2 linked regions of the Arabidopsis thaliana genome follow. The protein of the gene in region 2 interacts with the protein of the main gene of each other region in a pairwise test. Each region holds a gene or a part of one and is shown on either strand. Other genes may lie near its edges.

Region 1 (4,853 bases), on a different chromosome or scaffold from region 2:
TTGTCACAAAACTACACTTTTTGAGAGATCTGAGAGGAAATAGAGATTAAGAGAGTGAGACGAGACATGGACTAACGAGTCAAATAAAGAGTGATTCATTTGAACGAGAATAAATAAATATATCAATCTTTTTTACATTTTCTTGATTTTCTCTATAAGAAAGAAAAAAAAAAAGACAATTTCTAGGGAAAACACAAATTCGAAAATGATGTGAACGGACAAAGAAGAAATGCTTTCGATGTATATAAAGTATAAACGTTAAAGAAGAAGAGATCAAGAGAAGAATGAGTGAAAGACAAGAGGTCTTTAAAGGAGTTTATATGGAGTCTAAATAAATGAACGGTTAGATGAAGACTAAGGTCTATGACCGTTGGATTAGATTAAAACTGCCATATTTCTCTTGCTTGGCAGATAGTCCAAACCCGAAGAATCTACATTAAATATGACACGTCCCATTAACCTTTAGCCTACATTTATCATTATCACTGAAACGTTTTGATGGGTTATCAATCACAAATTCACAATACGAAAAAAAACAGTAGTGTCAAACTATTATGGTATTTTAGCGTGTAATTCGTTACGCAGATATTATTATCTATGGTTGATTTTGAATCTGAAAATATGATCTATCGAAGAAAGGCCTGAAATTATTTTATTATCTGAATATGTTTTGTCGGAGCTTACATGCTTAGCATGTTTGAACTTCGAAGATGAAGACAACTATGCCACCACACGTGTGCTGGCCAAGTGGGACAAAGTTTTGAACCTATTCGGTAACACTCACACGAGATCAAATCCCCACCATCTCATTTTATAATGTCGTTTATTTATTTGTTAGTGATCATCTACTGTTTTTTAATAAGGTTAGTGCCCTAGTGATCATCTACTTGTCTGTGATTTTGTAAAAAATATATATAGAATTAAAATTATATTACGAGAACAAAATGTGTACGGTGTGTCCTCTAGTTGCGTTACTTGTGTACGTTGATGATGGTTGATATATATACATATTCATATCAGGACAAAAAAGCTTTTAAAAAGACCAATAAAGATAGATCTAGTTTTGAGTAATTGGAGGATTCACTAAGCTTTTTGGAGCTAAAATGGTGAATTTCCCACGAATCAAATCTGAGAAGAGAAGCTTTCTATATTTTGAGTTACTTTACACAATTACACGTTCATTTGTAAATTAAGATCGTGTTTGTGCTGCATCCAAAAAATTCTTGGAATTTTAAAGTAATGAAATATAACTAAACAAAATGACCACTAAAAAATAAAATAAAAAGCACATGAGAGATGAGTGATTATACTCTGATAAATTAGCTAACAAAATTATGTATATATAAAAAAGGTTTTATGCAGTGTAAATTGTACTTACACACTTAATCAAAGCAAAACAAAAATATTAAACCGACAATAATACGTAAACCAAAAAACCAATATTCCTTAAAATCAATTTGTGTTTCCAACCGACAAGTTCTTTGTATATATGGTTAATCATATTTTGTTGTAGTCCGTATCCTAGCTAAAAGACGTTTAAACGTTCATAATGGATATGACCCACCCAGCTGGTGAAGATATTCGTTTTTCGTGATCATATATATATGTTTCTTTTTGCCCATCCCTGTTTCTATTAACCCAAGTTAAATTAGCTATATATGAGCAAAAACTATGAGTTGAAGTTAAGCACAATTTCCGAATCACAAAAAAAAAACAAATTGATTTGGACCTTTCGATAATAGGAATCAGAAAGAAGTTTGTTCCAAACACTTCTCTTATATAAATCCCAACTCATCAGCTTCGTGTTTCCGTACAGTGCGTACATATACGAACGTGTCACTCGGCTTTTAACGTCAACTTAATCGAGAGCCCAATTCAGGCTTACTATAAGCCTTAATAAGCCCAATATTAAAAGTCCCTGATTATTGTGAGCCCAATATTAAAAGTCCATGACTATGGTGAGCCCAATAATAAAAGTCCATGACTATGGTGAGCCCAATAATAAAAGTCCTTGATTAAAAGGCCCATCACCAGTGGAGCGAAGAAGCGGAGGAGGGAAGAGGGATGCGATCCTCTCGTCATCGCTGGTTCCATCAGTTTCAGTGAGAATCAGATCGTCGTTGTACTGAGAGCTCCGGCATTGGTTCACGGCGGAGCTGGAGAGTTATCTAAGAACGGAGAGGTTACTGATCTGAATTGTTGAAGATCGGAAAATGACAGAATCGAGTCTGGATCTGCAGGAATCTGGTTGGGAAGAACTTAGGCGGGAAGCTCGTAAAATTGAAGGAGATCTAGACGTTAAGCTCTCTTCTTACGCTAAGCTAGGCGCCAGGTTTACTCAAGGCGGTTCGTTCTTCTTCCTTTCCGCTTGATCATGCTATCTGTGTCTTTCTTTGTTATTTCCATTGCTTTGAATGTTGCTGTTATGTCTACTATCTGAATGTGGGGGTTAGTAGTCTGTAATGTGATATAGATCTAGGAATCAATGTTGGATATGATCTCTTCACCGAATTGAATTTGATCGCCATTGTTTGCTCAGTCTATGTTATGCTTCCCCAATGCTTAATTCATGTGTGGTGTTTGGTAGAGTAAAGTTAAAATTGGTAATGTTTCTCTCAGATTCCTGTCAAAATTATTTTTCTGTGAATGACTAAGGTAAGAAGAATTTTTGTGTGTTAAGCTTACTGTTTTGCATTAGCTTTCAGTTTTTAAGAATTGCATTGTTGTATGTATCAGATACTGATCTTGTTATGAATTATGAGAAAGTATTGAAATGTGTTTTGGTTTCAGGGTATGTTGACACTGGGTCTCCAACCGTTGGATCGGGGAGATCATGGAAGTCTATGGAGATGGAAATTCAATCGTTGCTTGAGAAGTTGTTGGATATTAATGATTCCATGAGTAGATGTGCTGCATCTGCTGCACCCACAACATCGGTTACTCAAAAACTAGCAAGGCACAGGGATATACTTCATGAATATACCCAGGTTTTCTTGCACCATATTTGACTTCTTTCCTTTCTAAGCTCTTTGTTGTATTCAATAGCTATCCCCATCACGTAAGTTTATTTGTTATTTTTCGAAGTTTGAATGACATTTTGGAGAATTATAACTTAGTAATATATCGGGGATCTCAAACTTGAAAATTCTGATCATGCTATTGATGCAACAATCTTCAGCTAAATAATTTTGGTGCATTATGCATAAGGTAGATAAGTTGATAGATGCCTTTGCATAGAACAAAGTTTTGGTACTCCTATCCACTGTTTGCGTATCATGCATCAGTGATCAGTGATACTAGCTGAGTAATTGCAGTCCCATTTTGAAAAGGAAAACCCCTTTGCACTAGTGTAGATTTGTTTAGTGATACTTATGTGTGTTCTGTAGTAATATGAAATCATACGTATTATAGGGCCTATTTTTTCATTATAATGATATTTTAATGTGAACTTGTAGGAGTTTCGAAGAATAAAAGGAAATATAAACTCGTTGAGAGAACACGCTGAGCTTCTGAGTTCTGTCAGGGATGACATAAGTGAATATAAGGTAAAGATCCTATAGCCTCTTAGTTTAGAAAATGAATATTCTTATTATTGGAGATACACATTCTTCTATGCTCACATTTTGATTGGAAGTTGGGTTCTGTTTTTGCTTCTGCAGGCTTCTGGTAGTATGTCACCAGGTGTGCAAGTGTTAAGGGAGAGAGCTTCAATCCATGGAAGTATATCCCATGTAAGATACTTTCTGTAATCATGGCATTTGTAATCTGAGTGTTATATTCTGTTAATAATAGCCCACTTTGTAAGGTAATTTTCTAATGAGGATGTTATGGAGAATTTGGCTGCAGATTGATGATGTGATTGGTCAAGCTCAAGCGACAAGAGCAGTTCTTGGCTCTCAACGATCTCTGTTTTCAGATGTTCAAGGGAAAGTAAAAAATCTCGGAGACAAATTCCCAGTGATTCGTGGCTTACTTGGTATCTCTATTCAACCTCTATATGATATTCTCAACTAATCTCATTAGCCTTCTATTATCCTTAAGCAACTTTTGGTTTTTTCAATTAATAGGCTCAATTAAAAGGAAACGTTCTCGGGACACACTTATCCTCTCCGCTGTCATCGCTGCTTGTACGTTGTTTCTAATCATCTACTGGCTCTCAAAATAAACAGAATGTTCATACACCTAAGCTATAAAACGAGTTTGCCTTGACATCCCTAGATCGATTTTTTTACAAGTTTTTTCTTGCTTTTGTGTTTTTGCCATTATGTTGGGTTATATGTTTGTAGGACAATATTACACCCTGAATCATATCGTAAAAGTAAAATTCGAAACATATATTTCACAACATCAAAGATCCACCCATGTGACTTCATTCAGGTACTTACTTTTTATTACCACACGCTTAAATTCTTCAACATTGGTCCAACATACAATGTGGTCCAATACAACACATTATGCTCTGTTTTATTATGTTAGATTTTTATTACTCTCTCTTTCCCTTAGTTTGGTCCTCTCGACCACAATACTTTGTACGAAAAAGTAATCCAACTCATAAATTCATCTTTCAGCTTACATTTACATCCACTCAGGTCATAATATCTAAAGGCCTCACTCTCTTTATTTTGAGTGGGTACACACTTCACTAATGATGATCCAGTCCCTTGTATTTATTTTCCTGTCTATACTCTTATGTGCCCTACATATAGTTTCAAGAAGTGCTAATCAATGTGGTTCGTACCGGTTTAGAGATATTGTGGTGGGCCAAAGCCCACATAATAGCCAGGCCTGATTGACTTTTCTAAGTTTTCGTTCCTAATAAGTAATAACTATATGGTCAAATTATTGTGGACCTA
Region 2 (7,042 bases):
CATAGCTCTTTTGGGGAAGCAGCTTTGGAGGATGCTTACTGAAAAAGATTCTTTAATGGCGAAGGGGTTCAAAAGTAGGTATTTTAGTAAATCTGATCCTCTTAATGCTCCCTTAGGTTCGCGACCATCCTTTGCCTGGAAAAGTTTTCATGAAGCACAAGTGCTTATTAGACAAGGTGCAAGGGCAGTGGTTGAAGATGGAGTCTCTGTGAATATCTGGACGGATCCTTGGATCGATTCTAAACCGGCAAAGGCTATCCAAATGATGAAAAGAATTCCTCTGGACAGTCAACAAGCGGCTAGTGCTATTAACTGTGTTAAAGACGTAATGTCGTTGGATGGACGAGGATGGAATAACACTCTAGTGAAAATGCTGTTTACAGAGGAGGATCAGAGGAAAATCTTGGGTCTCCGGCCAGGGGGTAAGGATACAAAGGACAGGTACGCTTGGGACTTTAGTCGCTCCGGTCACTACTCGGTGAAATCAGGTTATTGGGTCATGGCTGAGATTATCAATAAAAGGAGTGCACCTCAAGAAGTCCTTCAACCAAGCTTGGAACCAATTTTCCAACAGATTTGGCGGTTAGAGGTTCCACCTAAAATTCATCATTTTCTGTGGAAATGTTTGAGTAACTGTCTTTCTGTTGCTGGAAACCTTGCCCACAGACACCTGGCTAGAGATAAGGGCTGCGTTAGATGCCCATTCCTAGGAGAGACAGTTAATCATTTGCTTTTTAAATGTACCTTTGCCCGGCTTATTTGGGCAATCTCTCCCTTCCCAGCTCCTCCAGGGGGTGAATGGGTTGACTCTCTATATTCAAACATGTCTCATGTCCTCATGTGCAATCAGTCTCAGCCTCACAAGGCTGACTCTCATGAGATGGTACCCTAGATTCTTTGGAGATTGTGGAAAAACAGGAATGATCTAGTGTTCAAAGGAATAGAATTCTCAGCCAAACAGGTGATCCTTAAGGCTACAGAAGATTTGGAGGAATGGAATAACCGCAAGGAACCGCAGCCACAAAAAGTTCTCCCTCAACCGCCAGGCATGCAATGCAGGAGATGGCAACCCCCAAGCTACGGTTGGGTGAAATGCAACACAGATGGTGCCTGGGTTGATGTAGCTCCGAACTGTGGCGTTGGATGGGTGCTGAGAAACCAGTTTGGAGAGGTGTTGTGGATGGGGCTAAGGGCCTTACCAAGAGTGCAGTCGATGCTGGAAACTGAGCTTGAAGCCCTGAGATGGGCAATCCTTTCATTGTCCAGATTCAATTATAAAAGAGTGATCTTTGAGTCGGATTCTCAGTTCTTAGTGTCTTTGATCAAGAATAATATAGACCATCCAAGCCTAGCTTCAAGGATCCAAGACATTAGGAATCTCCTCCATCACTTTGATGAAGTCAGGTTTCAATTCATATGGCGTGAAGGAAACAGAGTGGCCGATAGAATTGCAAGGGAATCTCTTTCTTTAGTGAATTATGATCTCATTTTGTATTCTGTTATGCCAGACTGGATCAAACACATTGTGGTTTTAGAATCCGTGTAATCGAACGTTGGATAATATAAAGTTGTTGTTGAGCCAAAAAAAAAAAAAAAAAAAAAAAATTCAGAGCCTGTCTACAACGTACATATATGTACGACATACGTTGAACAAGCTAATCCTGTGATACATGACGAACGACACTACCTATAGTACTCTTAGTACTGGAACCTCCCATAGACAATTAACAATCAACAACTAAAAAACGAATCCCATACTTCATGTAAAAGGTTTAAAAGGTCAAGGAGTTTCCACTATATATCTTCTTGTAGCCAAAAGTTCAAGTCAATAAGACATGTTTTTATAATGATTAAGCGCATAACAGTAACAAGGGGTTAAAAAAATAGAAAATGCAAAAAAATGAAATAAACAAATGCAGAAACTACAAAGAAGACGCGCTTGAATCGACGACATAAAAGAAGACAAAAAAATTCGACATGACCCATACAATCCATTAACCAAAAAAAAAAAGAATGAAAAGGAAAGTTTTTTCATAGGTTTCATCAACTCTTAGTAAAGAGAGAGAATGGATCTGAGATCAATTAAGCCACTAATTGATTCATCTGAGATCAATTAAGCTACTTCTTAGAGCGAGTCTAATCCTTACTTCTCTTCGTGGAGTCAACAAATTTTGTTGTTGTTCCATAACGCATCTTCAAATTTCAATTGTTTTTTTCATTCATAAACTTGAATCACAGGCTTGGTCTTGGAATCATTGGTCAAAAGAGAGAGGCTACAACTTTAAAAGGTAAACCAAATATGAAAAGAATTGATGTTGATCTTAAGCTTATCTTGTTCCCTTTGCTGCTCTTGTTTAGTGTCTCGGTTTTTGCTTAGGGGAGTCTGTAGATCGAGTCCAATACATCTTCTTGGCATGAGCTTAGTCGATGCATTGAATCAATCTCGAATAGTTTATGCTTCTGTTTTTAAACTTTTTTTTTTCTTTTTGCATGAAACCATGTTTTTAGGATTTCTTTTATGCAATGTTTTGAAACCCGATCCGGACGATGAACCGGACTACCTTTTGGGTCACCAGGTCATCGGGTCAACTGGATTAGACCACGAATTAATTAGTTAAAATTTATTTAATAAATTTAATATTAATAGAAATTTTAGAGTATTTTATAAAAAAAAAAATTTAGTATTATAAATATAAAACAAAAATAATCATATCATATTTAATCAAATATAAAATTATATTATGTTTAACAAAATATAAAATCATTTACACCCAAATATATATAGAAAAAATCAAACAATAATAATAAAGTGGTTAAAAATTTGAAATCCAACTAAATGTCTAACACCGTAACAAATATATTAGAAGATCATCAATGACAGAAATAAATTAATAAAACATTGTGAATTCAAACAACTAATCTCGGTTGTCTCTCTCACCATTCAATTCAATTTTAAGGCGGTATTGTAAAGTCTTCACCAAAATCTAAAACATCAAATGAATTTAAGAACTGAAAAAACTTTTAAAAATAATTGAATAAATTCTAAAATCTCATATTTTATTATAAAATCAAGAGAACTTTTTAAAACCCACACCCGGCCGGTTCAACCGGTTCACCGGGTCACGAGTTAATTGCGAGTTTTTGTGGGTTTTTTCGGTTTTGAACTTGTTGGGTTTTAGCACTAAACCCAAACCGGAAAAGTGTTCGGGTCACGGGTTAACCGGTCGGACCGGACGGTTCGGGTCGGGCGTGAAAACACTGCTTTTATGTAAAAAATAAACTTTCATTTTCACTAATGATTTTTTTTCCTATTAAATCAAAACCCAAGAATTAATATATGAAAATAATTAGGGGACGCAAAAAAATTTAAAAGAATAAGGACAACGATGTAATAAATGATTTTTATAATAAATGATGTTTTTATATAAAAGAGGTAGATTAAATGAGATTTTATGATTTCGTTTGTAAAAACCTTAAACTACAACCAATATGAAATAGAGGGAGTATGTTTTACTCGGTAGATAGGTTACTATTCAGTACATCAGATTCATGTCGCATTAATTGGATTACAAAGATGTTTGTTGCTTTTATAAAGGGTAGTCATATATCTTCCTTTTGTCTATGACTTTATAACATTTCAAAATTTTAATCCTGAATAGGCCTTCAATAACGTTGGACCGGCTCTAAGAGGACAAAGGGTAGTCTTATATCTTCAGTCTTCTACAAGCCAATGGTTGAAGGGTTCTCATTGTCATTGATGTTCCTCCTTGTTTCACATTTCTTTGTCTCAGGTACGGTCACTTCCACATAAGTATAATTTTTGGTTTAGTCGCTATTTGATGAATTTTCTTTCTTATTTTAAAATTTTGTTTTAATGGCAGGAGTAATGTCGAGAAACTTTACTATAGAGAACAAATGCGATTACACTGTCTGGCCGGGATTCCTAACCATGACTACTGCGGTTTCGCTCCCCACCAACGGCTTCTCCCTCAAGAAAGGGGAGTCACGTGTCATCAATGTGCCACCGTCATGGTCAGGTCGTTTGTGGGGTAGATCGTTCTGCTCCACCAGCTCAACAGGGAATTTCTCATGTGCCACGGGAGACTGCGGCTCCGGAAAAATCGAGTGCTCCGATTCCGGAGCAAGGCCTCCTACGACGCTAATTGATTTTACCCTTGACGCTACCGACGGTCAAGACTTCTACGATGTAAGCGTCGTGGATGGTTACAACCTTCCGTTGGTTGTGGTCCCACAACGTCTAGGGAGTGGCCGGACATGTAGCAACGTTGGTTGTGTGGTTAACTTGAACAAGACTTGTCCGTCGGAGCTTAAAGTGATGGGAAGCTCTAACAAGGAACATCCCATTGCTTGCATGAACGCTTGTCAGAAATTCGGGTTGCCGGAGTTCTGCTGCTACGGTGAGTACGGTAAACCTGCAAAATGTCAACCGACGCTTTACTCTACGAATTTCAAGAACGAGTGTCCACTCGCTTATAGCTATGCTTATGACAATGAAAACAACACCTTCAGATGCTCAAACTCACCTAACTATGTCATCACCTTTTGCCCGTAAGTCCTCGTATATAACTCTCCTCTAGTAACTTTCTATTTCGTCAAAGACATCCTACAGCTTTAATTTTGACCATTTACTCTAGTTATATTTTCTAGAATGTGGTAATGTAAATAATCAATAATTGCAATGCGTGTGGGGATTATAGCTGAGATTTACCCTAATGTCTGATTAGCTAGCGTGTGCCTATTGATTTTTAAAACATTGGTCTTTCGGACAAACTATGAAACTAATATGTAATAATGTCACTTGTTGGATAGCAACGACATAAGTTCAATGTCTCAACCATCCAAGGAAACTAATGGAGGAACGAAACGTAAGTTTATTTTATTTACTTTTTCATACCTTATGTTATTTTAATTTTTGCTTAAAAGACTTTTTGTTTGAATGTTCTTACAGAAAAGTCATCATGGAAGTTAAAACTCATAGTTGGTACCATATCTCGCTCAATCCATAGTACTTTTGTATACGAAAAACACCTCGTTTTTAATTCTTCTTAATTATCTTATTCCAGGAGTCTCAGCAGCTTTGACCCTGATGATCTTAATTGTGGTCGTAATAATAGTGAGAACAAAGAATATGAGAAATAGTGAGTGGAATGATCAGAACGTTGAAGCAGTTGCAATGTTGAAACGATACAGTTATACAAGAGTCAAGAAGATGACAAACTCATTTGCGCATGTTCTCGGTAAAGGAGGATTTGGAACTGTCTACAAAGGAAAGTTAGCCGATAGCGGTCGGGATGTCGCAGTTAAGATCTTGAAGGTGTCAGAGGGTAATGGAGAAGAGTTCATTAATGAAGTAGCAAGCATGAGTAGAACATCTCATGTCAATATTGTTTCTCTGCTTGGATTCTGTTATGAAAAGAACAAGAGAGCTATAATCTACGAGTTCATGCCGAATGGGTCCCTCGACAAGTATATTTCTGCGAATATGTCAACAAAGATGGAATGGGAAAGATTATACGACGTTGCGGTAGGTATCTCTCGCGGCCTAGAGTATTTACACAATCGGTGTGTCACGAGGATTGTCCATTTCGACATAAAGCCGCAGAACATACTGATGGACGAAAATCTTTGTCCTAAGATTTCAGATTTTGGTCTTGCTAAACTCTGCAAAAATAAGGAGAGCATCATATCAATGCTACACATGAGAGGGACCTTTGGATACATTGCCCCTGAAATGTTTTCCAAGAATTTTGGAGCAGTTTCGCATAAGTCAGATGTTTATAGTTATGGGATGGTAGTTCTTGAGATGATTGGAGCAAAGAATATAGAAAAGGTTGAATATTCTGGATCTAACAATGGTTCAATGTACTTTCCAGAATGGGTCTATAAAGATTTTGAGAAGGGAGAAATCACAAGGATTTTTGGAGATAGTATAACTGATGAAGAAGAGAAAATTGCAAAGAAATTGGTATTGGTTGCTCTATGGTGTATACAGATGAATCCATCAGACCGTCCACCAATGATCAAAGTCATTGAGATGTTAGAGGGGAATCTAGAGGCTCTTCAAGTACCACCTAATCCTCTCTTGTTTTCACCCGAGGAAACGGTTCCAGACACTCTTGAAGATAGTGATGACACTTCAACCTTCTTTAATCCAAGTCATTTTGAAAGAGGTACTCTCTTAGATAGTGAAGATGTTTTACAACATGGGTCAAGGTCCTCCTAAACTAAAGTCAACCGGAGAGCGGATCTCTTTAAACTTGTCATGATCTTTAGCTATTTCTCGATTAGTTTTTAATAACTTCTGACTTAATAGTGTGTTTCTATGCTTATTAGATGATGTTTACTGACGCAGGCACTCAATATTGTTGGTTAATGAAGACTATTTTCTGTTGTTTTTCTCTTGGAAAGAGAGAAACGTTAATATAAACTCCCCAAAACAATGTTAAGATATCAATAAAATTCTTTTGTGTTTCTTGATAAAATCTTACGATAGGCGTTCAATTGTTTATAGTAACTTTTGCGCCAAATTTAATGTTCTTGTTCGTTAACCCCAAAAAAATTTAACCGTTTAGCAAAGAGAAAAAGGAAAATTCTAACCATTTGGAGATATATATCAAATTTTGTGGGATTGAGTAATGTTCAGGGTGTAGGTCTCCTTGATCAAGTGGTTGACCACATGTTAATAATTATTTGGATAATTGCATATATGCCATTTTCACGATTTACGTATATGAGTGTATACAACTTAATTAATTTCTAACTATTTTTTTCTTTTTTGTACCAAACACTATTTATATTAAGTTATCAGAAAGAGATTTTCCTATAAAGAAAGCCATTCAGGAACCGATTTGCTTAGATGGGAAAAAAAGACATTTTCGTGCCCGAGTTTTCTTAGCTAAATTATCTGCTCGAGTATTAAGACTACGAGGAAGAAATCTAATACTAAATGAAGGGAAAAAACAAATTAGAGACCGAAAAAAGCCAATTCCGCTGCAAATAAAAATTTGGATAAACTAAATTC

Evidence for each region. The genes of interacting proteins can lie anywhere in the genome.
Region 1: the proteins of PR5K (region 2) and GOS12 interact in a protein complementation assay, tested with the Arabidopsis thaliana proteins (one large-scale study listed by BioGRID).

The regions. Positions count from the first base shown.
Region 1 is NC_003071.7:18,637,001-18,641,853, reverse strand, and holds GOS12 (golgi snare 12), read left to right. Parts: upstream 1-1,814; 5' UTR 1,815-2,213; coding exon 2,214-2,346; intron 2,347-2,736; coding exon 2,737-2,987; intron 2,988-3,455; coding exon 3,456-3,545; intron 3,546-3,659; coding exon 3,660-3,731; intron 3,732-3,846; coding exon 3,847-3,976; intron 3,977-4,067; coding exon 4,068-4,165; 3' UTR 4,166-4,337; downstream 4,338-4,853. UniProt on the Arabidopsis thaliana protein: Involved in transport from the ER to the Golgi apparatus as well as in intra-Golgi transport. It belongs to a super-family of proteins called t-SNAREs or soluble NSF (N-ethylmaleimide-sensitive factor) attachment protein receptor.
Region 2 is NC_003076.8:15,292,527-15,299,568, reverse strand, and holds PR5K (PR5-like receptor kinase), read left to right. Parts: upstream 1-1,985; 5' UTR 1,986-2,288; intron 2,289-3,659; 5' UTR 3,660-3,730; coding exon 3,731-3,791; intron 3,792-3,881; coding exon 3,882-4,569; intron 4,570-4,830; coding exon 4,831-4,886; intron 4,887-4,969; coding exon 4,970-5,002; intron 5,003-5,084; coding exon 5,085-6,191; coding exon of another isoform or gene 6,192-6,244; exon of another isoform or gene 6,245-6,373; coding exon 6,374-6,447; 3' UTR 6,448-6,521; downstream 6,522-7,042. UniProt on the Arabidopsis thaliana protein: Possesses kinase activity in vitro.